Neurospora crassa OR74A: one gene and its partners. The protein of the gene in region 3 purifies or fractionates together with the protein of the main gene of each other region. This does not show direct contact. Links are inferred from orthologs where the notes say so. Each region holds a gene or a part of one and is shown on either strand. Other genes may lie near its edges. The genes, in order: NCU00493, NCU04404, NCU07319, NCU01992 and NCU08811.

What was found.
Region 1: the proteins of NCU07319 (region 3) and NCU00493 purify together in Saccharomyces cerevisiae (affinity purification with mass spectrometry; 6 studies listed by BioGRID). This does not show direct contact. The link is inferred for Neurospora crassa OR74A from reciprocal best matches to the Saccharomyces cerevisiae genes SEC27 and RET2.
Region 2: the proteins of NCU07319 (region 3) and NCU04404 purify together in Saccharomyces cerevisiae (affinity purification with mass spectrometry; 6 studies listed by BioGRID). This does not show direct contact. The link is inferred for Neurospora crassa OR74A from reciprocal best matches to the Saccharomyces cerevisiae genes SEC27 and SEC26.
Region 4: the proteins of NCU07319 (region 3) and NCU01992 purify together in Saccharomyces cerevisiae (affinity purification with mass spectrometry; 6 studies listed by BioGRID). This does not show direct contact. The link is inferred for Neurospora crassa OR74A from reciprocal best matches to the Saccharomyces cerevisiae genes SEC27 and SEC21.
Region 5: the proteins of NCU07319 (region 3) and NCU08811 purify together in Saccharomyces cerevisiae (affinity purification with mass spectrometry; 4 studies listed by BioGRID, with this or other methods). This does not show direct contact. The link is inferred for Neurospora crassa OR74A from reciprocal best matches to the Saccharomyces cerevisiae genes SEC27 and GLO3.

Annotation. Positions count from the first base shown.
Region 1 is NC_026503.1:4,047,421-4,051,527, reverse strand, and holds NCU00493 (coatomer subunit delta), read right to left. Parts: upstream 2,805-4,107; 5' UTR 2,525-2,804; coding exon 2,522-2,524; intron 2,466-2,521; coding exon 1,831-2,465; intron 1,776-1,830; coding exon 965-1,775; intron 903-964; coding exon 813-902; 3' UTR 453-812; downstream 1-452. Other genes in the region: NCU00494 (hypothetical protein), read right to left, coding at 1-20; NCU00492 (hypothetical protein), read left to right, coding at 3,853-4,107. UniProt on the Saccharomyces cerevisiae protein: The coatomer is a cytosolic protein complex that binds to dilysine motifs and reversibly associates with Golgi non-clathrin-coated vesicles, which further mediate biosynthetic protein transport from the ER, via the Golgi up to the trans Golgi network.
Region 2 is NC_026504.1:3,471,264-3,475,559, reverse strand, and holds the start of NCU04404 (coatomer beta subunit), read right to left. Parts: upstream 2,806-4,296; 5' UTR 2,368-2,805; coding exon 2,066-2,367; intron 2,001-2,065; coding exon 1-2,000. Other genes in the region: NCU04405 (mago nashi protein), read left to right, coding at 3,171-3,208, 3,276-3,313, 3,397-3,492, 3,552-3,615, 3,678-3,765, 3,828-3,968. UniProt on the Saccharomyces cerevisiae protein: The coatomer is a cytosolic protein complex that binds to dilysine motifs and reversibly associates with Golgi non-clathrin-coated vesicles, which further mediate biosynthetic protein transport from the ER, via the Golgi up to the trans Golgi network.
Region 3 is NC_026504.1:4,379,342-4,383,277, forward strand, and holds the start of NCU07319 (coatomer beta' subunit), read right to left. Parts: upstream 2,809-3,936; 5' UTR 2,472-2,808; coding exon 2,454-2,471; intron 2,192-2,453; coding exon 2,168-2,191; intron 2,072-2,167; coding exon 2,026-2,071; intron 1,959-2,025; coding exon 1,817-1,958; intron 1,758-1,816; coding exon 1,567-1,757; intron 1,509-1,566; coding exon 1,309-1,508; intron 1,250-1,308; coding exon 1,124-1,249; intron 1,066-1,123; coding exon 825-1,065; intron 774-824; coding exon 1-773. Other genes in the region: NCU07318 (mannitol-1-phosphate 5-dehydrogenase), read right to left, coding at 3,728-3,936. UniProt on the Saccharomyces cerevisiae protein: The coatomer is a cytosolic protein complex that binds to dilysine motifs and reversibly associates with Golgi non-clathrin-coated vesicles, which further mediate biosynthetic protein transport from the ER, via the Golgi up to the trans Golgi network.
Region 4 is NC_026501.1:1,752,648-1,756,634, reverse strand, and holds the start of NCU01992 (coatomer subunit gamma), read left to right. Parts: upstream 1-1,185; 5' UTR 1,186-1,357; coding exon 1,358-1,433; intron 1,434-1,532; coding exon 1,533-1,843; intron 1,844-1,910; coding exon 1,911-3,225; intron 3,226-3,288; coding exon 3,289-3,987. Other genes in the region: NCU01991 (hypothetical protein), read left to right, coding at 53-392. UniProt on the Saccharomyces cerevisiae protein: The coatomer is a cytosolic protein complex that binds to dilysine motifs and reversibly associates with Golgi non-clathrin-coated vesicles, which further mediate biosynthetic protein transport from the ER, via the Golgi up to the trans Golgi network.
Region 5 is NC_026504.1:5,157,946-5,162,069, forward strand, and holds NCU08811 (arf GTPase-activating protein), read right to left. Parts: upstream 2,807-4,124; 5' UTR 2,471-2,806; coding exon 2,399-2,470; intron 2,322-2,398; coding exon 2,186-2,321; intron 2,114-2,185; coding exon 1,930-2,113; intron 1,837-1,929; coding exon 1,079-1,836; intron 998-1,078; coding exon 657-997; 3' UTR 332-656; downstream 1-331. Other genes in the region: NCU08810 (mitochondrial import inner membrane translocase subunit tim-21), read left to right, coding at 3,161-3,469, 3,540-3,785, 3,873-4,073. UniProt on the Saccharomyces cerevisiae protein: GTPase-activating protein for the ADP ribosylation factor (ARF) family. Involved in retrograde vesicular transport from the Golgi to the endoplasmic reticulum.

The DNA of each region.
Region 1 (4,107 bases), on a different chromosome or scaffold from region 3:
AGCTGCCCATTTGGGGACATTTTGTAGGATCCGTTGGTGACTTTCAGTTGGATGATGTTATTTGGACGTGGAAAGCAGCGGCTAAGTGGTTCCAGCCTTCAACTCCGGGACGCAAGATTTTGATTTGAATGACACGCGCAAGTCCATAACTTGGCAAGTCGGTTTGTATGTTTGGGGGATTTCGGTTTTGGTTTGCTAGACCTACAGCTTCACTTGCCTCGGCGTGATGTTGTTGTTGTTGTTGCTGCTGTTCTGCGATTCAGTCGTGTGGTCTCGTCCTGCCTGTTGATTCAAAACACAGTGCAGATAGAGCAGTTGCCACAGTAATAGAAATACTGTGCAGGGGCATCCGTACTGTGTAGGTATGACCTTTACAAGCTTACCTAGCGAACTACACACATCGACATCAATTACCATACTCTGTGCTTACAACAGCGATGATTGAGTTGGATAGCTCTTTGCGTAGATAGGCTTCTTTCTATATGGTACTGGATCATGAGGGTATCCATCCCCTTAAAAATGCGTAGGGCTCGTAGCTTACATGTTACTTTCAAGGATCCCGGGAGCGTCAAAAACCTCTTGTTCAAAAAGTCAAGTATGACCTTGGGTATCAACGGAAGAAAAGGAATGACAGCTCGAGCACCCACTGGCGCGGACCATGTACAACAGTATTCATTATAAAGGGAGTTGGACAACTCGGTTGCTTCCCATACATTACTCTAATTCTGGTGTGGAAGATGATGATCGAGACGCCTGGCCGGCATGCTACGGTCGCCCTTTTTTGGTTCTGCTCAAAACAATGACAACAAACCCTACTCAATGAGGAACTTGTCGGCCACCGATCTGATGTCCTTGGAAAACGAAACCTCTTCACCTTCATCCACCAGCTCAACAGATTGAACCTAGAATGTGTCAGTTGTTCCGTCTTTACCCGTTTTTCTGACATGAGGGGGCGACATCTTACATCAACCTCCACGAACGGCCACGACTTGGAGAACCGTACTTGCATCGGGAAGAACTCGTTCTCGTCATCGGTCTGCGCCTCAAACTCGAATGATCCGCTGGCGTTCTCCTCGCTTACGGTGCCTATCGACCACTCTAGACTGTCACCAGACACCTCATACACAGCGTCGAAGCTAGACACCTGAGGCTCTGCGCTCGTGTAGGGGATGACGACAGTAACGTCCTTGAGGGTATCTCCGCCAGTGAGCTCGTACTCGACCGTCAATGTGCTGTTGCCATCCGAGCCCTTGTTGACCCAAACGGTGAAGCTGATTGGTAGTGCGCTGGTGTCGTCGACTCTGGGACTGGCCCGCCACCTTAGAACTCCGACAGAGTTGTTAAGGGGGAAACCCTTTGTGATTTGAGACAACTGGATAGCCTGGGAGCTATTGAAGACATTCTTATCGACGTTCGGGTGAGTGCGGAACTGGGCGCCGTGGGTGGGTGTGGCGCTGAGGTTGAGCTTGATCCTTGAAAGCGATGGGTCGGAGACGCGAAGCTGGAGGTCACCGCTGACCGAGAGGGATTCGAGGGCACCATCTCTCGACAGCTTGGCACTGATTGCCTCGTTGATAAGGACGTGAATAGCATCCCTGTCGAGTGTCGAAGAGACTCTGGAAGCAGCAGGCTCTGCGGCAGCTGCCGGCGCGGCTACCGGAACAAGGGGCGCTTCCTCGGCCTCGTGTCCAAGATCCCCCTTCACGCGCTCGAAAATATCCGTATTCTTGGACTTCTTGCCCAACTGCATACCTTTGCCCTTTGGCGCATTGAACCTAGAAGAATGTGAGCTTGCAGGCCAGCCTGAAAAGAAGAGGGACTAACACATACTTGACCTTGTTCTTCTCGGCTTCGTACGTATCATAGGACTCGGTGACAGCAGGTCGCACCGGCGGGGTGTATGTGGGATATACCGGCGTCCGGGGTACCGCGGACCGACCAGTTCTGGCCGACTCCTTGCGCTGCATCTCCAACTGCTTGGCTTTCCTCTTGCGCTCTTCGGTGGCCTCCAGCTCCTTGTTGCGGGCAATGATTTCCTGAATGCGCTCCTCGTGGCTTTCCATCTCGAGGAAGGTCTTGATCTGGCTGATGGTGAGGTTCTCCCGGTAACCGAGAGTCACCAGCTCATCGAAGGCGCTGAGCAGTTCGTAGGCATTTCGGAGGATTTCGCGCTCGTCAAGGCTCTTGCAGGTGCTGGTGACAACCTGGGCAAAAAGGTGGAGCGAGTCGATGTCCTGAAGGATGTTGGACTGCTTGTTGGTGATGAGGACCATGTACAGCTCGTCCAGGGGCTGGTAGACGAATCGGACATTGTCTTGCTCGACAATGGTGTGCTGAGTACCCGAGTCGGCGGCCTTGGGGAACGAGGCGAGGAGAGCTTCGATGCGGGAGCGCTTGATGTCGTTGAAGGCGCGGGCTAAGACGGCCTTGCCGCCGCGGGTGCAGATGGAGGCAGCGAGGACAACCTGACATGTTCCGTCAATCGCTTCTTCCCACCAGGAGACAGGGATGGATGAGTTACCATTTTGACAGCAGTAAACAACAACCACGACTACTGACTCGAAGGGCGCTTCGTGGTAGTGCAGGGAGCTTTGGGATGCGTTGGAGGTAAGTCGTGAGCTTCACCTCCTGAAAGTTGTCGTGGACGGGAAGGTTGATGTGGTCTTTCCGTTGCCGTGCTGAGGTGTGCTGTCGGTCAGGTCCAATTGAACTGAAGGTGCCATCTGGAGGGACCCAGCGGGCAGCGATAGGTAGAGGTACCTGGACGGCAGCTTCACTGCAGCGTCAGGGCAGTCGGGTTCAGGCGGGCCAGGGCAACCTACTGCGTACACGGTGGCAGCGTCCTGGCCGGCCGACGAGGGGCTGCCAGCTGGCAAAAGAAATCCAGGGGCACACCATAGATACAAGTACAGTAGGTAGGTACCTCTAGGCACCCACAGGGCCCGCTAAACTCCATGCGGCACTTGCTTAGGTTCAGTTTCCTTCCTATGATCAATTCTGCGAATTTCACCGTTGTCCACACACTGCGGCAAAACCAACAACTGCACCTCTTTCTTCAACACGCACAACAGACGGCCCCGTGTGTCGAAATTTCACGATTTCCATTTCCATCCAAACCATCGCCTACCTCGAAAAACCATCCGCCATCGAGAAACTTGTTTCTCAATCGCGTCAAAGCATTGCCCAGCCAATACGAGTCTCGATTACGGATCATCAAATACCTACGCTACCTTTGTGACACGCCTCGTCATCAAGAGCTTACTCGACTCCGTTGCACTTCACCCACCTCCCAGCTCCGCCGCTCCGTGAAAGTGAGGCATCCCGATTATCTGCCTGCCGCGTTTCAGCATTCCATACCTCGATTCGATGTGCACTTTTGCCCAGAACATCCGCCCCAGAACTCTTAACAGCGGTTAAATCGTGTTGTCGGATTCCGCCAGTCCACGTGTCGCCTCACATCCCTTCACCGTTTCATTTTGCGCCCCAGAAGCGCCGTTGTTTGTCGGGCGTTCTTTGTCGAGTGCGGGGTTGCCCATTCTCAGCCATAACTCCAGAACCCGTGGTCTCTATATGCCCTACGGCTTCGCTTCCAAGAAGAAGTCACAGCCTTTCAGTCCAAGACATCCACCGAAACCCATCGCCAAGCTTGGGGTTTTGACCAGTGCACCAATTTTCTACGTCTTCGCTTCTTTCATGACGCTTGCTGGACGTACAATTTCTTGACAACGGCAATACGTCGCACCTTCTTAGAAACTTCGTGGAAGTTTTGCGTCATTTTCCAAATTTTCGTTCTTGATCCAACTCACTCGTCTGTGGCGCGTGTTTTGATTGACCCGCCAACCGCCAATCATCATGGAGCAAGTTAGCTTCGACGTTCGTGCCGAGGCGGGGAAGGCGGTATTTGACGATGACTTGATGCTAGATGCCGGCATGCCAGCCGACGAGCTTGTCTTAGAACTCGACGACCTACATGACAAGGAAGATGAGTACCAGGCGATCGATCTTGATGCCCAACCCGCCACAGCGGATGTTGAATTTGCTGTCGATGACCTCGAGGCTCAGCATAATACCAACGATGAGCAAGCAGAGGCGGCAGGCGGCGTCGAG
Region 2 (4,296 bases), about 910 kb from region 3:
ACTCGACGGTAAGGTTCTGGAGGGTCTCAGTTGTTTGGTTGACGAGTAGTACGTCTAGTACAATGTCGAACTGGTGGACCTTGACATAGGCCTCAGCATAAACAGGGTCGGAGAAACCGGTGAGCTGGACAACGCGGCTAAGCTTGCCAGATAGGTCCTCAGCCGAGCTGTTGTCTCCACCAGTGGCACGCTCGAGATCGGCATCGAAAGCATCAGCCCCATCAGTGGCATTCTTCTTGGAAAGCTGGCGGATTTGATAAACATCGTCCACCTGGGTGGCCGTCTTTGCCTTTTGGTGGGCCTCTTTTGCTGCGCGCTTCTTCTCCTCAACCTGGACCATCGCCCTGAACGCCTTCCTGGTATCCTCGAGATAAACGGTCTCCAACTCCTTGTGCGCGGTGAACTCGGCAAGGGAGCGCACACAGCTCATGATACGATCCACCGAATCTTCATCAATAGGGGCCTTGACGAACTGCGACTGACCAACACGAATGACGGAGATCATGATGAGCATAGCCTCAGCGCGGAGGGCGTTCGTGCGAGCCTCTTCCGAGGAGATCTCGGCATGACGCATGACAAGCTTGGTAAGGGTCGATGCGAGAACAGTGGCAAGGTAGTAATCGCCGTCAAGGATAAGTTGCCTGAGAGGGGGCTTCGACGAAGCCTTGACAGCCTCCAGGCGTGCAGCAGCTGTAGACTGGCTGGTAAGGGCAGTCTCGGTAGCGTATGTGCCGTCAGCAAGGACCTTGCGTGAGCCAGTCGGCGCTGCCCTTGAGCCATTGACCTGCTCCTTCTCCTTCTCCTCGGCATCACCATCAACATTATCCAGCAACCGTTGCTCGGATGCCAAGATCGGGATCTCACCCAGGCTTGCCCGAATTCTCTTCCATGCGTCCCTGATATCCTTCTCCTCAAGCGAGTACTCGCCGATAATCCAGAGAATACCGCGGTAGATCTTACCAGCGCGGACTTCACTCAGGGTATCTACCAGTCTCGCAATGATTGCTGGCCTGAGCTGAGGGAACTTCTCGACGACCTCCTTGACAAAGTTAATAACATCAACGGCGGAGTTGTTGTTGAAATCGGCAATAAAGTCCATGAGCAAGCCGACGACGCTAGCGGCGACTTCGGAGAACTTGATAGCGCATTGATGGATGGAGTGGATAAGAAGCTGGCGGTACTCGTTGTTCTTCTCGTACTCCTGGTCAACCGTCTTGGACAGCTCCTTCTTGAGCAAAAGCACGACTTCCTCCACGTTCTTGCTGGAGACCATCTCCAAAGCGATCTCGAGACCCTTCCTCCGCACATCGATATCCGTGCTAGAGAGAACGCGCAACACCTCCATGGTCAGGTCGTCCAGGACGCCGGGGTTCTTTTGGCGGAGTTGATCGACACGGTCCAGAACGATAAGCTTGACATTGTTATCCGCCTCCTTGATCGCAAGCTCAATGAACTTGCTGGCAGCAGCCTTGACAGCGACAGGGTTGTTGGTGAGGGCCGTCAACGACGAGGCCGCTTCGTAGATAACGGTCGAGGCACTAGCTTCCAAAAGGTCAAAAATAAGACGGAGGTAGCGCGCCTTGTTCTGGGTGTTGACAACAGCATCTTTCCTGATGAACTCCAACTCGGCCAACTGCAAAAGCTCATCTGCGTTGGGAATACCGTCAAAGACGGTGCTGAGATAGAGAAGAGCCTTGTCGTGGTCGATGCTGGCAAGGGCGGCGAAGCCATTCCGCTTGCAGGTTGGGTCGCTTTCGCCTTCGAGGAACGTGGAGATCAAGTCCGCAGCATCGGGAATAAGCGACGGGGAGTGCTGGTAAATGGAAGCGACAGCAAAGACGGCGTTCTTTCGGACATAGGCATGGCGATGTTCGAGACAGCCCCGGGCTGAGGAGAGCAAAGGCTCGAGAAGTTCGGCCTCCCGCAGCTTGCACAGGAAGCGCAGCGTGTTGCCTCGGATGTACTCGTTCGGGTGTTGCAAGTCGTTTCGGATGCCGTTACTGCGAGGCAATGGCTGGTCAGCTTGGAGGGGCCAGCATGCCCAGACGGACACGGAATGCCTTACCATACTAGGATGAACTCCTGCTTGAGCTTCCCTTGGGCATCAAGCTTGGGGCAGATCTCATAGTAGAAGTATAGAAGCTTCTTCAGGGGCTTGGATTTAGAAGGCATTACGAATCGGATAATGTGCATGAGCAATTGGGGCATGGGATCGCCATTGAGCATGATGGTAAGAATGCGCTTCATGGTCTCGATCTTGGTCTCGTCGGTGCCCTTTTCGAGCTGCGTCTTGAGCTCCTGCACGGTTGGGGTGCCGTCGACGGCATTGTCCTTGACCAAGCTGTAGGCATTTTCGAGGAACGACATGTTGGAGAGCTGGCGGCGGCCGGGCCGTCTTTGATTAAAGTTGAGATTGAATTTGGTAGAAAGTAGCTGGCCGGGCGTCCTGAAGAGGAGTCGCGGATCGAAATTAGAGAGGGGCGGGTGTGGTAAGGTGTTGTTTGCCCCGTTGTAGGTTGCGTGGTGCTAGTAAATGGATGGACTGAGTGGCTGCCTCGAGCTCCTGAAGAGTGACGATGAGCTGGCCTTGGTGCTGGATGTGGTTTCCTCCCCCTGGACTGACAGGGTCGTGGTTGGCCGAAAATCAAGAGACGGCTGCGCAATGAAAGGGTTGTCTGGAGTGCGCCGGCGAGGTGAGAGAGCGGAGCATCACCTGTGCTTGTTGTTGAAGTCTGGAAGAGCCAGCGTGGATAGGACGGTCAATTCTATCGAGAGACGGCCCCTGGGAGATGTGGCATTCTGGCCGGCCGCAACAGCACACGGCGAAGCACGGACCCCCCGACACCCTTACGGCCTCACCAAGCCTCCATCTCCTGGCCGAGTCTGCCATCTGCCAGCTTGTCCAAACAGTCGAAGGATCACGTGTAGATACGGATTGCCAGCTGTCAGGAAGGCTCGTGAACCCGGAGTCAGCTTGGAGCCCAAACAATGCCCCTGGGCCAAGCTGGGGTCAAGTGTGGGGCCGTGTGCCCCGCCAATGTCACTGGAGCGTGGCCGCGCGGGCGCGACTTTCAAGGTTGTCCATCCAAAAGCGACAGGAACCAAGCCGCTGGCTGCATCTCTGCCTCTTGTCTTGCAAAGCCTACTACTGACAGAAGCAACAAACAGCCATGTCAGCCGCCAACGAACCCTTCTATCTGCGCTACTAGTATGTACACCCCTACGGGATTCGATTCACTCACACATTGAAAACACCATGCTAACAGCCGGCTTAGCTCTGGCCACTCGGGCCGCTTCGGCCACGAGTTCCTAGGTGTGTTCAGCCATTTGCGCCTCGAGACGCAAGCTCCCACGTTTCCACGACCACGATGCTAAACTACCGCCCTTTGACTACAGAGTTCGACTTTCGCGTCCTCGGCGACGGACGTAGCGCCACTGCCCGATATGCCAACAACTCCAACTACCGTAACGACAGTCTGATCAGGAAAGAGAGTAGGAAACACTGTTTAGCCGGCCGTGGACATCCATATACTGACGAGGGTCTCTTTTAGTGTGCGTCAGCTCTCTGGTCATTGACGAGATCAAGCGCATCATCAAGGACAGCGAGATTATGAAGTACGACATCATGTTCACCCTTTTATACAAACAACATGGAGCGGCTGCTGACAGGCCAACAGGGAAGACGACGAGAAATGGCCGACCAAAAACAAAGACGGAAAGCAGGAGTTGGAGATCCGCCTCGGGAACGACCACATTTCATTCGAGGTGCGTCTTGCCAGTGTCGGAATCTATTTCTGCAAAATGTTCAGAGCTAATACAGGAAATAGACTGCCAAGATCGGATCGATCAACGATGTTACGGACTCGGCCGACCCAGAAGGCTTGCGCGTCTTCTACTACCTCGTTCAGGACCTCAAGGCGCTGGTGTTCAGTCTCATTGCCTTGCACTTCAAGATCAAGCCCATTTAATCTTCCGACACGAACGAATACCCCGAGTTTGATATATCCTTACTCATGGAAAGGAGAGATTTTGTGGGATAATGCGGCGTTTTATAAAGGCGTTCTTTTCTATCTATTGGCGGCGCAGATGGGTTTCTTGAAACTGGATTTAACATGGATAACTTCGGGACTGGCACAATCGTATACATTATCGACCAATCGCCCCACTGGCCCCCGAACCTAAGAGTCGTCATGGCTGTTTGTGTCAGCTATTGATGATGACCAACCAAGCAGTGTGAGGCAAGATATCCGATGCAGTTGCCAGGCGGAGACCGAGTGATGGAACACCGACATCTCA
Region 3 (3,936 bases):
GAAAGAGGTAACATTAAGGTCCTTATCGGTGATGTAGACGCGGCCATCACGCTGGAGGTAACCCAAGATGTACATGGGCTTGTCGAAGTGGGCGATGGTGTAAGTCTGGTCGCCAACCAAGTAGTTTAGACGGTTGGTGCTGTTGGTGTAGATCAGGACATCTCCCAACCACTCCGCCGAACGGATACTCTCGCTGATGTCGGTAACGACATCAAACGCAGCCTCAACACCATCATCCTCGACAAGACCAGCCTGGACCGCTTCGTTATAGTTCTCTCTCGAGAACCTGAGGACGTAGGTGCTATCTTCGCAGGCAAGAGCAACCAGCTCGCCGCTCTCGCTCCAGTACACCTGCTTTGGCTCCACCTCAATGCGTCTGACAAGTCCACCCGTCCGCCAGTCGTAGAAGGAAATGCCACCTTGGCCCTTGACACCGAGGAGGACACCGCCGGTAAGACCGTCGGCAGCAAATGGGACGTCGAGACCGCCGACCTTGTTCTCGAAGTTCTTGAAGATCTTGACGCTGGTGGGAGACTCACGAATGGCGAACTCGTTTGTGCTGGAATACTCCTTGGAAGCCCACACAAAGTCGAGGGCTTGACCGAATGCCTTGTTTCTCCAGGCGAGCGCAGTGTAAACGATGTATTCGCCGTCGCCGCAAATAGCAGCGAACCGACCATTGGGAGAGTGGATGAGACTTTGGGGGTACACCTCGGCGGTTCCAAGCTCCTTGGTGGTGAGTGTGATAGGTTCGTTGTCCTTGATATCGGCATCTGATCCCTGTTAGCTCGGAGTCACTCTCGATGTTCCGTTTTGTAACTCACCAGCACCCTTGATCACGGCAGATACAACCTCATTGTGCCTGGCCCACACGATCTTGCCGGAGCCATCCATCGACACAGCGGGCTCTTCCCGACCAAGCTTGATGACCACCGAACCATCATCGAAACCAACAGCAATACCCTGCTTGCCCTTCTGATATGACACACACCATGCTCGCTCCAGGCCGTAGTTTAGCGATTGCTCGAACCTGTAGGTGTTGGCGTTCCATATCCTTATCGTGCCCTGCGGTTACGGTTAGTAATAGCCTGCGAGCGAGTGGACAGGTGCAATATCGACGTACGTCTTCCGAACCAGAGATAATAATAGGGAGCTCTGGGTGGTAGCAGGCAAAGGATACGTTGTTGGTGTGGCCTTCAAGAGTGGCGATCAAACTCTTGGTGGTATAGTCCCACACTTTCACCGTGCGCTGTGCCAGTAAAGTCAGCTGTGAAGTCCTATGCGCCAGCAGATGTCAATATAACTCACGTCATCAGAAGTTGTGAGAAGATAGGGTTTGTCGCTGTGGGGATAGTAATCGACGTGGTTGACGCCCTTGGTCTCGTGCGCCTCAAGCTGGAAGTTTGGTGTGGATGAACCCAAGCTCCAGATCTTGACTGTCCTGTCCAAACATGCCGAAGCAAAGGTGTTGGTATCTTTGGGGTTGATGGCGAGGGACATGACGTAGTCTGAAGCTCTGTTAGCACGCGCGCTCTGCTTCGATGTATCAGGCTGGTGGCGCCATACGTGAGTTGCCCTCGAATACCCGCACGTTCTTCCATCCCTTCTCCCAATCCCAAAGCTTGATCGTCATGTCATCACTGGCGGTAAGGACGAAGGGTTGTGTAGGATGGACGCAAATGGCTCTGATGTAGTCGGGATGCGCCTCGAAGGATGTGATCTTTTCGCTCGTGTTGTAGTTGTAGACTCGAATTTGGCTGGGATTCCAGGTCAGCCTTCCTGTCTAGCTCTAGCCCAAGTTCCATGTCGAACATACAAGTCATCGGAACCACAGATGATCCAGTTCTTTCGCGCAATGAAGCGACCAGCGCGGACGGGGACATCGGTAAGCTCGAAGGTCTTGACGATTTGTTGTGTCTCGTATGACCAGATATAGACGTGGCCGCTGTAGAGGGTCGCTAATCACCAAAGTAGTGTCAGAATTCAGGGCCCCTCCCATCGTATCGCGAGTCGAATCAGACGTACTCAGAATCCATGGCTCGGTAGGATGGAAGTCGATGCCCTTGACTCGCTATGTGCGGGATATGGGTGAGCAATGGGAACCTTGAATGTTGAAAGACTGCTTGGTACCGGAGAAATCAGGGGGTCAAGAGGACAGGTAACGAACCTCAGAGCGGGCAAACAACTGGCGCTGCATGTTGACAGGCATGTTAGCAGGTGTTTTCTAATGAGAGATGGCCCAGTTGGAGGCAGCGATGTGATGATGGACGTGTCGGCGCAATGGAGCTGGCCGTCGAGGTGCCGGTACAGCAGACGGAATAGGGGCAACTGGAAGATCCCAGGCCGAAGCTAAGGGAGGTGCAAGTGTGCGCCAGGTTGCAGAATCGGGTTGTTCTGTTGGGTCTCGGTGACACGGCCATGGTGGTGCAGACACGAAGCCTGTGCGAACTTGCCTTGACATCCAGCCTCATGTTGGGCGAGTTTGGGGTGGGTGTGTGGTGTGTGGTGTGTGGTGTTTACAAGTTGGAATTAGAGGACGGGGCGGTCGTAACGGTTCTCGAGCTTCCAAGCTTCAGGTGGGGTGCGTGCTGGATGCTGGAGATGGTCCCTGACCGTGCAAGAAAGCCGCCGTCGGGTTCGTCAGGGGTGAAGCTATCGGAAGTGGTGCAATCGTGGTTATATGTATTTGGTGTATTGGATATCTGGTCCGCCGAAGGGGGGGGGACGTGGTTGGCGGTACGAGGATTCGGAATAGAGGCTTCGGAGGCCTTGACACTTGATTGCGACGGGCCGGAAATGACAGCGGACGGTTGTAGAGGTGCCCGCCACGTATCTCGACCGGCCGCCGCCCACAATTTCGCGGCTGTGGTCTGCTCGCCGCTCGGGCCACTCTCTCCCTCAGGCGGTCAAGTGGGCACAGCTGCCGGCCACTGTCACTTCCTGCGCTCGCCAGCTGCTGCCTAAGGCAACGACCAACACTACAGCTTTGCGGATCTCTTGGCGCCCCCCTCACCGTCGGTGCATTCAGTGTTTGAAGCCATCACCATCGCCAAACCACGTCCAAAGTCGACCACTGGAGATCGTCAAAAACCAAAAGGCTTGGACCAACGCAACGGTCACTTTGTGAACGACTCAATTCCCAATCACATTTTGGAGGAGTGTCACACACGAGCAAATTTGCAAGATACGAGTATTTCAAAACCAAAAGGTCTCAGCGACGCAACAGGAGGCGCGACCGATGACGGTCAGTCGTCAAGTCGGTACTCCCATCCATTTTCATCGTTACTTAAAAACATTATCAGCAATCACCAAATATGGGCTCAAAGAAAAAGCTCGAAGCAGTGATCAAGTTCGACGCACTTTGCATACGACAACGTTACTGGAACATGGAGAAGAATTGAGTGTGAGTACTTCTTATTGACTTGAACTATATCTATCATTGCAAAGCGCTTCTAGTGATTGCGCAGAGACAATAATGAAGAAGAAAAAAGGGAAACCCAAAACCTCCAGGATGTCAATATGATCCCGGCTAAACGCCATTGATCCCAGTTGTATAATGCTCCGCGTTGATATCCCAGAAAGCAACCAAATGAACGCCATATTCTCCGGATTCCGAGGGTCCACGACACCGTTGCCCTATTCCCTATCCGTAAAGTCTTCGCTCATTTATCATAAGACATGAAGTAAGAATGGATACAAAACACACAAGTTGACAGAAATGCTCCATCTAGTCGTCGTGCAAGTCGGCCTGTACGCGCTGTACAACCTCGACCACCTTGGGGAACAGCTTCTCCTGCTCGTTCAAGCCGCAGACCTGCTTGACAACGTCCTCGGGCTTGTTGCTCGCCATGATCTTAGCAAGTTCGGCCGACTCCTCGTCGCCCTCGACGTTCTGGAAGCGGAACGCCATCTCAGCAGCATCGAGCAGAGCGCTGC
Region 4 (3,987 bases), on a different chromosome or scaffold from region 3:
GACGCCTTGCTTACTAAACCTTATCTGGCCGCTACTGACACGTCTGGTACAGGGCTGATGCTATTTTGCCTCCGTCCTTTGATCTCGTTGTGCTGGGCAAAAAAGAGAAAGAAGCTGTGAAGGCATGCGGCAAAAATCCCGACCGCAAGGAAGACGACGTCCGGAACGGGTTTCCCATCAATACTGATTATCACGCGCAAGAGCCGATGCAGGAGCAAGCAAGCGCCGCCGAAGCGGAGGACCAAGCGCAGGTGCAGGGCGAGGAACAACCGGACATGCAACTCGAAACACAGGCGGAGGTACAGACTGAGGCGCAACCCGAGGCCTCGGCAGTGGTCTCAGATGAGGTGCCTGTCGATGCAGAAGCGATAGAAGCTGCTTCCACATCATAGGGTCCATTTGTGTATCCGATCGCTGATGCTACGCAGGTGAGGGCCGTAGCAGGAGAGTGATATAAGAAGCTGTGCCTAAGAGTACGCCCCAAAAGAGAGCAAGCAAACATACTAGAAAACAAATCATGCTTTTATGAGCCAAAGCAAGGCTATATGTCCTTTTGGAGGAAGACGAAAAGGAAGAGATGGGTACAATGGATGCTCGGACCAACTGTATCCTTAAGTACAGGCTGGGACTACCGTTGAGGAGAACCAATTGACAGCAAGAAGGGCTCACGATAATGCAATTTGAGTAAAGTAGTCAGTATCAAGCTGTCATTCAAGCCGAAAGGGAAGGCGGCCACCTAGACCGAGTGTGGGATGTAAAGCTTGGCACTGAACAGGTCCAAGTAAAGTATCAATAGTTATCATGGTGATTACTACGTACTAGCAATCTTGGTTCTATTTTTCCTTCAGAAGCACAAGTGAGGTGACCTGGCAGGTTGAACAATGTCAAGTTTGTCTTCCAGGAACAACATCCCGTGTGATTATATTGAAAATAATTAAACTCGATGATCTACTCAGGAGGCGGGAGGGAAGCATCTATGTAGAGGTAACTAGGTATGTACATATTGGAAGGGTGGTCTGTGCGCTGTAACACCCGCTCCTTGAGGTTGACGATGCACATGGAGAAGCTTGCTCCTGCCGGGAGGCTTTCAGCCTCTAACTGGCGAGACTGGCAGCGTGGCCCGGGAGCACGGACTCCCTGACACCTCAGTGGACTCCCCCTCGACTGTGCAGTGGAATTGGCAACGTCGCGGGTTTGGGGATACCCGCTTGCTGGCCGCACCGTCGCACAGGCAACACGCTACTCCGTTATTTCGTACCTCTATTGTTCTAGCCTCGACTTACTTGCCTCAACAACAACAACTTGGGTTTCCCAAATCCACATCACACCTCCAGCACCCATCGTCGCCCTGCCCGCCATGAATTACGGCAAAAAGGACGAGGATGCTGAGACGGGTCTGGTCAAGGTCGACCGGACCCAGGTCTTCCAGGAGGGTGAGTCCGAGTACCTTGGCAGCTGAGGCATTGTTCGTCGGGTGGACGTGGCCCTTATACTCTCCTAACCTCCTCAAGACTGACCGGTTCGACATACAGCCCGCCTCTTCAACAACTCCCCCATTCAGCCGCGCAAATGTCGTATCCTCCTCACCAAGATTGCTCTCCTCCTCTACACCGGCGAAAGATTCCCGACAAACGAAGCCACGACGCTGTTTTTTGGTATTTCGAAGCTCTTCCAGAACAAAGATGCCAGCCTACGACAGATGGTCCACCTTGTCATCAAGGAGCTGGCCAACTCGGCCGAGGATATTATTATGGTTACCAGCACCATTATGAAGGATACTGGCGGTAGTACCGATGCCATCTACCGCCCGAATGCCATCCGCGCCCTTTGCCGCATCATCGATGTAAGCCTCCCCCTTCCTCGACCCCTTAATGGTTATCCGATGTGGAGCTAACCCCGACCTTGTGCAGGCCACCACAGTACAGTCCATCGAGCGTGTCATGAAGACGGCCATTGTCGACAGAAACCCCTCAGTATCCTCTGCCGCCCTCGTATCGTCATATCACCTTCTCCCCGTCGCCAAGGACGTCGTCAAACGGTGGCAGAATGAGACCTCGGAAGCGGCAGCTAACACCAAGTCTACCGGCGGTTTCTCCCTCGGTTTCGGATCTTCCAACAGAGATCTGCCCATCAACAGCTCGACTATGACCCAATACCATGCCATTGGCTTGCTTTATCAGATGCGCATGCACGACAGGATGGCGTTGGTGAAGATGGTCCAGCAGTTCGGTGCTCCCGGTGCCGTCAAGAACCCCGCTGCTCTCATGTTGCTCGTCCGTCTTGCCGCCCAGCTGGCCGACGAAGACCCACACCTTAGGAAGCCCATGATGCAGCTGCTGGATGGCTGGCTCAGGCACAAGAGCGAAATGGTCAACTTCGAGGCCGCAAAGGCGATTTGCGATATGCGGGATGTCACCGACGCTGAGGTCACCCAGGCAGTCCATGTCCTCCAACTTTTCCTTACCTCGCCCCGCGCTGTCACCAAGTTCGCCGCTCTTCGCATTCTCCACAACTTCGCTTCGTTCAAGCCGGCGGCCGTTGCTGTATGCAACCCGGACATTGAGCTCCTCATCTCCAACAGCAACCGCTCCATCGCTACTTTTGCCATTACTACCCTACTCAAGACCGGAAACGAGGCCAGCGTGGATCGTCTGATGAAGCAAATTTCTGGCTTCATGTCTGAAATCACCGATGAGTTCAAGATTACGATTGTCGAAGCCATCCGTACTCTATGCCTCAAGTTTCCCAGCAAGCAGGCCGGCATGCTCCAGTTCCTCAGTGGTATTTTGCGCGATGAGGGTGGCTATGAGTTTAAGCGCGCCGTGGTGGAGAGCATGTTCGATCTTATCAAGTTCGTCCCCGAATCTAAGGAGGAGGCTCTCGCTCACCTGTGCGAGTTTATTGAGGACTGCGAGTTCACCAAGTTGGCAGTCCGTGTCCTTCACCTCCTCGGTCTTGAGGGACCCAAGACATCCCAGCCTACCAAGTACATCCGATACATCTACAACCGGGTGGTTCTCGAGAACTCCATTGTGCGCGCCGCAGCGGTCACTGCCCTTGCCAAATTTGGTGTCGGCCAGAAAGATCCTGAAGTCAAGCGCAGCGTAGAGGTTCTCCTCACCAGGTGTCTGGATGATGTTGATGACGAGGTTCGCGATCGTGCTGCTCTCAACCTCAAGCTTATGAAGGAAGAGGATGAGCTTGCGAACAGGTTTGTCAAGAATGGTAAGTTCTCGTCTACTTTATGTTACGTTTGCCGGATGCGATCACATACTGACATGTCAACAGACAGCATGTTCTCGTTGCCCTTTTTCGAGCATCAGCTCGTCACGTATGTTACTTCTGATGACAGGTCGACATTCGAGGCGCCTTTCGACATCTCCAAGATCCCTGTTGTTACCCGCGAACAAGCAGATGCCGAGGATAGGACCAAGAAGCTTACTGCTACGACACCTTCACTCAAGCCACCCAAGGTCGGACCAACCAAGGCGGCTCCCACCAGCGCCGAGGCAGCCGCATCTGCCTCGGCAGCTGCGCAAAAATATGCGCAGGAGTTGATGCAGATTCCCGAGATGGCAGAATTTGGCGCCGTTCTCAAGTCGTCGCCGGTGGTAGAGTTGACCGAGGCGGAGACCGAATACGTCGTTGGAGTTGTCAAGCATATTTTCAAGGAGCATATTGTGCTCCAGTACGAGGTCAAGAACACCCTTCCCGACACCGTATTAGAGAACGTCTCTGTCGTAGCTACTCCCGCGGAAGAAGAGCTTGAAGAATTATTCATTATTCAGGCTGAGAAGCTCGAGACCGACGTTCCTGGAAAGGTATATGTGGCATTCAGAAAGGTCAGCGGTGAGGGTTCGCTACCAGTTAGCACCTTCTCCAACGTCCTCAAGTTCACCAGCAAGGAGATTGATCCCAGCACCGGTGAGCCTGAAGAAACCGGCTACGATGACGAGTACGAGGTTGCCGAGTTTGACCTGGCGGGAA
Region 5 (4,124 bases), about 780 kb from region 3:
AAAAAAAAAAAAAAAAAAGGGGGCCGAGAACATTAGGTCAATAAAAAAACAAAAACAATCGCAAAAAAAGAAAGTTTGGTTCATGATCCGACCCAGGCTCGATCTGGGGACCTTCAGTGTGTTAGACTGACGTGATAACCAACTACACCATCGGACCAGCTGTTGTTATTGATAGAATTACGCTGAAGGTAGGCCCTATATCAGTAGCTTCTATTATGGTTGCGCGAGTCAGTTATTAGCAAAAATCTCGCTGAAACCCTGATCAACATCACGATCTCTCCCTGTCAACCTCGACTGCCACCGTAATCGAAAAACCGTACGCTATAGAACACCATCATATCTCTTTCTTGTTGCTTGAATACTTCCCGTGGTCACTTACCAAGATCCCCCTACGCCACGGATGTGAGAACAGCTCATCCAGATCCTGGCCGTCATCCTCTTCGTTAGATATCAGAAACCCGCATCATCTGCCCAGACTACTAGTGCTCTCTACCATAAAACATTCATTCACCATTACACTACAAATACTAATTTTTACTAAAAGGAAGCCTTACCCGCTCGTCCACATCTTTCTGTCTCATAACTAGGTAATTCCCTTCGCCCATCACGTCCAGCTGCCCACCCACACTGCTGCCTCATTCTTCCATTTCCACCGCTCAGCTCCCAAGATAAGCCCTGATAGCACCCTGCAACCTCCCGGCACCCTCACCCACCATCTGCGTAAGGTTCTCCAGATCATCGCTGGCAGTGATGCCAAACTTGCGAATGAAGTCCTTGGCGGCAGACTCGAGGTCGCCGTAGTCTTCGGCGGGCGCGTCGTCCTCGGGACGACCAAAGTAGGCATTGGAAGAGATGGCCTGGGCACCCTCGAAGCCTTGTAGACGGGCCTTGGTCTCGGCCTTGACCGAGGGGTCGTAGTTGCCCTTGTTGAAAAACTCGTCCGAAGAGATGGCCTTTTGGTTGGCGAACTTGTTGCGGGCGTATTGTTCTTCGTCGGCTGTTTCGTATCGATGTTGGTTAGTATTGCGTAAGAAAAAGAAAAAAAAAGAAAGGGAAAGGAGGGAAAAAAAAAACATACCCTCACTAGCCTTAATAGGCCCAACACTTCCAAACCCACCCGCATTCTTCTTCGCCGCCGCCGCTCCTCCCGCGCCCGCCGCAGCACCAGCACCACCGGGCTTGCCCACCATACCGAAACCCAGCTTCCTGACACCCATACCTAGCCTCTCCACCTCAGCAGCCGACTTCTCCTGCGCCGCCGACCGCGAACTGGAGGAGCTGACTGGCGCCGCAGCAGGGGTGATGATATTATTGGTCTTGGTCTCGGCCTTCTTCGCCGCCTTCTCCTCCTCCGCCTCGGGATCGTAACCCAGCTTCTCGATGCGCTCCGCCTCCTCCTTGGCCTTCTTCTCCGCCTCGTCGAAATCGATCAGGTCCGCCGAAATCTTCTTGACGCCCAGCTTAGCCGCGGGCTTCTTGGCGCCTAGGATGCCGCCGCCCACCTTGCGCGGGCCGCCGGTGGTGCTGCTGCCGGGGGTGGTTTTCCTTAGGGCCGCGGAGGTGGTGATGCGGCTGGCGGCGGGGGCGGGAGTGGGAGCATCGGAATCGGTCTTGGAGAGCGGCGAGGAAGTGCGCTGGATGTCCTTGCCGTTGCCGAGGAGCGGGGAGGCGGTGCGGCCGATGACGGGGGGTGTGGAAGTGCGGGAAATGGGTGGCGTGGGCTTCTTGATGGCGGGCTTGTCCCACGAGGAAAAGAAGTCGTCGTCGGGCTCGCCGGCCGGGGTGTTGCTGCTTGTGGCATCGTCACCGTCGGTGATGACAACTTCTTCGGGGTATCTGGGTGGGAGGTAAACAGCGCGTCAGCATTGCATTTCATGTAACGTGGAATAAAACAGGTTTGTGTAAATGAGGGGTAGGGGCATTGCATACTCGCGGGCGTCCCTAGCAGCCCTCTTCTTGAGCTCCTCCTTGTACTTGGTCGCGGCAGCAGATTGGTACTTGGTCTTGGGGTCCTTGCTGTTCAAGGCGGCGGAACCACCGTTTTGCTGAAAGAACTTGGTTGCCGACTCATTGCCGCCCACCTTCATGATCCGTAGCTGGTCCCATTGCCATTCTGTACAAGAACAAGGTTCGCGTTAGCGGGCGAGGTGTCGCGTCGTGGAGTAAAGATCGAGAGGGCACATACGGTCGAGGTTAGTAGACCGCACAAAGGAAATGTGAACGCCGAGGTTGCGGTGGTTGGCCGAGCAATCGAGGCAGAGGTAGATGCCAAAGGGGACCGAGGTCCATGTTGGGTTCTTTTGGCCGCAGTCGAAGCAGATCTGTTGTTCGCGGGAAGGGAGGCAGCAGTTAGCTTTCTGGATGTCTAGGGTCGATCGCTGCTCGCGTGGGCACATACCTTGTTGGCTGGCTTCGCCTTGAGCTTCTCAAAAAGCTTGAGCGACTGCTGCTTTGTCGCGAGACCGCTCATCTTGTCGGTCGGCAGTCCGGTGATGGTTCGGATTAGGTATGTCTGTCCTTTGCCAGGGTTGTGATGTGTCACTAGATCTCGACTGTCGTTGTTGATGACCCCTTTGCTCGGTTAGGTTGTCAGGGTCGGTAGGTCGGTGCTGCCGTCAGGGGGGGGAAGGTGAAAAAGGGGGCAGAAGAGGGAGAGAAGTCAAACAAGGCGGCGCTGTAGGTTTTCGGGCTTGTTACAAGTTGTCAATCTTTCAAGTGTTGTCATTCGCTCGCAGTTAATTCAGGAGACGGGGGGGGAGCCCCAGCGGAGAGAGCCGGGCTGCCTGGCAACCTACCTACGTACCTGTATGGTATTGGAACGTCCACTGGAACGTTGGGCCACATTTCTTTGTGTTCCCCAGCCAAGAATCAGACGCTTCCACTTGCTCATGGAGGTTCGCCCTTCCATGTGGCATCTTGGCGCCTTGGCACACAGTCCCGTCTCTACCTAGTGGAGCGCAACACGAACCCGACTCCACCCCTCGCCGGACGGACCTCCTCTGCCGGGAAAGATGCCGTGCCGGCAAACGGTTCCAAAGCTTCATCCAACCGCAGCTCATCACAGCTTCGTTCGGACCTCTCATTCTCATTGAAGCTCTCATAACAATCGCAAACGGCTGAAACATTGCCGTTGAAATATGGGTGTTGTGTTGAAGCCTCCATGATGAAAATGCTCACAGGTACTTCGGCGGGTGTGAGGCTTCTTCTGAGCCCCGCCGTGGTCCGTCAACAAGCAACCATTACCACAGCAGCTTCGAGAGCTCTTCCTCCGACAGCAGCTAGCGTCATTCTCGTCTCATCGCGCCGGCAATATGCGACTACGCAAGAAAGTTCCAAGAGGAGATCCGTAACGCCCTTCAATGATGATGGCCATGTGCCCTGGACTCGGCTCTCCACCGGTGAAAAAGCCGGGCGCGCCGTCCAGCAAACGTTCAACTTTGGTCTGGTGATTTTGGGTGTGGTTTTGACCGTACGCTTTCTTCTTCCCAATTCATCGCTCACTCCGGTGTGTTGTGTGTAGTACTAACTCTACCACACAGGGAGGAATTGCCTACCTACTCTTCACCGACGTGTTCTCCCCAGAGTCCAAAACCGCCTACTTCAACCGAGCCGTTGACCGGATCCGTGCCGACCCTCGCTGCGTCGCCCTTCTTTCGCCCGGCGACCCAAAGAAGATTGCTGCTCACGGCGAAGAGACACACAACAAGTGGCGCCGGGCGCGGCCGATCGCGGCAACGGTCGAGAAGGATAATAGGGGTGTGGAGCATCTAAAGATGCATTTCCATGTTCGTTTTACTTCTTCTTCTTCTTTTTCTTTCCCCTGTTTTGTTAAAAATTTGTTGTGATGATGGGGCTAACACCAAGAAAAACAGGTCGAAGGACCAAGAGGTTCTGGTGTCGTCGGGCTGCATCTGACCAAGCAACCAGGTCACTGGGAGCATGAGTACCAGACCTTTTACGTGGATGTGAGGGGACATCAGAGAATTTACTTGGAGAATAAGGAGGCAGAAGTGGCGGCTGCTAAGAAGGGTGGCAACAAGGAGTTCAAGTTCTTGGGTGTCAAGTGGAACTGAAAGGCTTCCATTCGCTTGTATGAATATTGTTCAAGGCTGCTGGTCATTGTT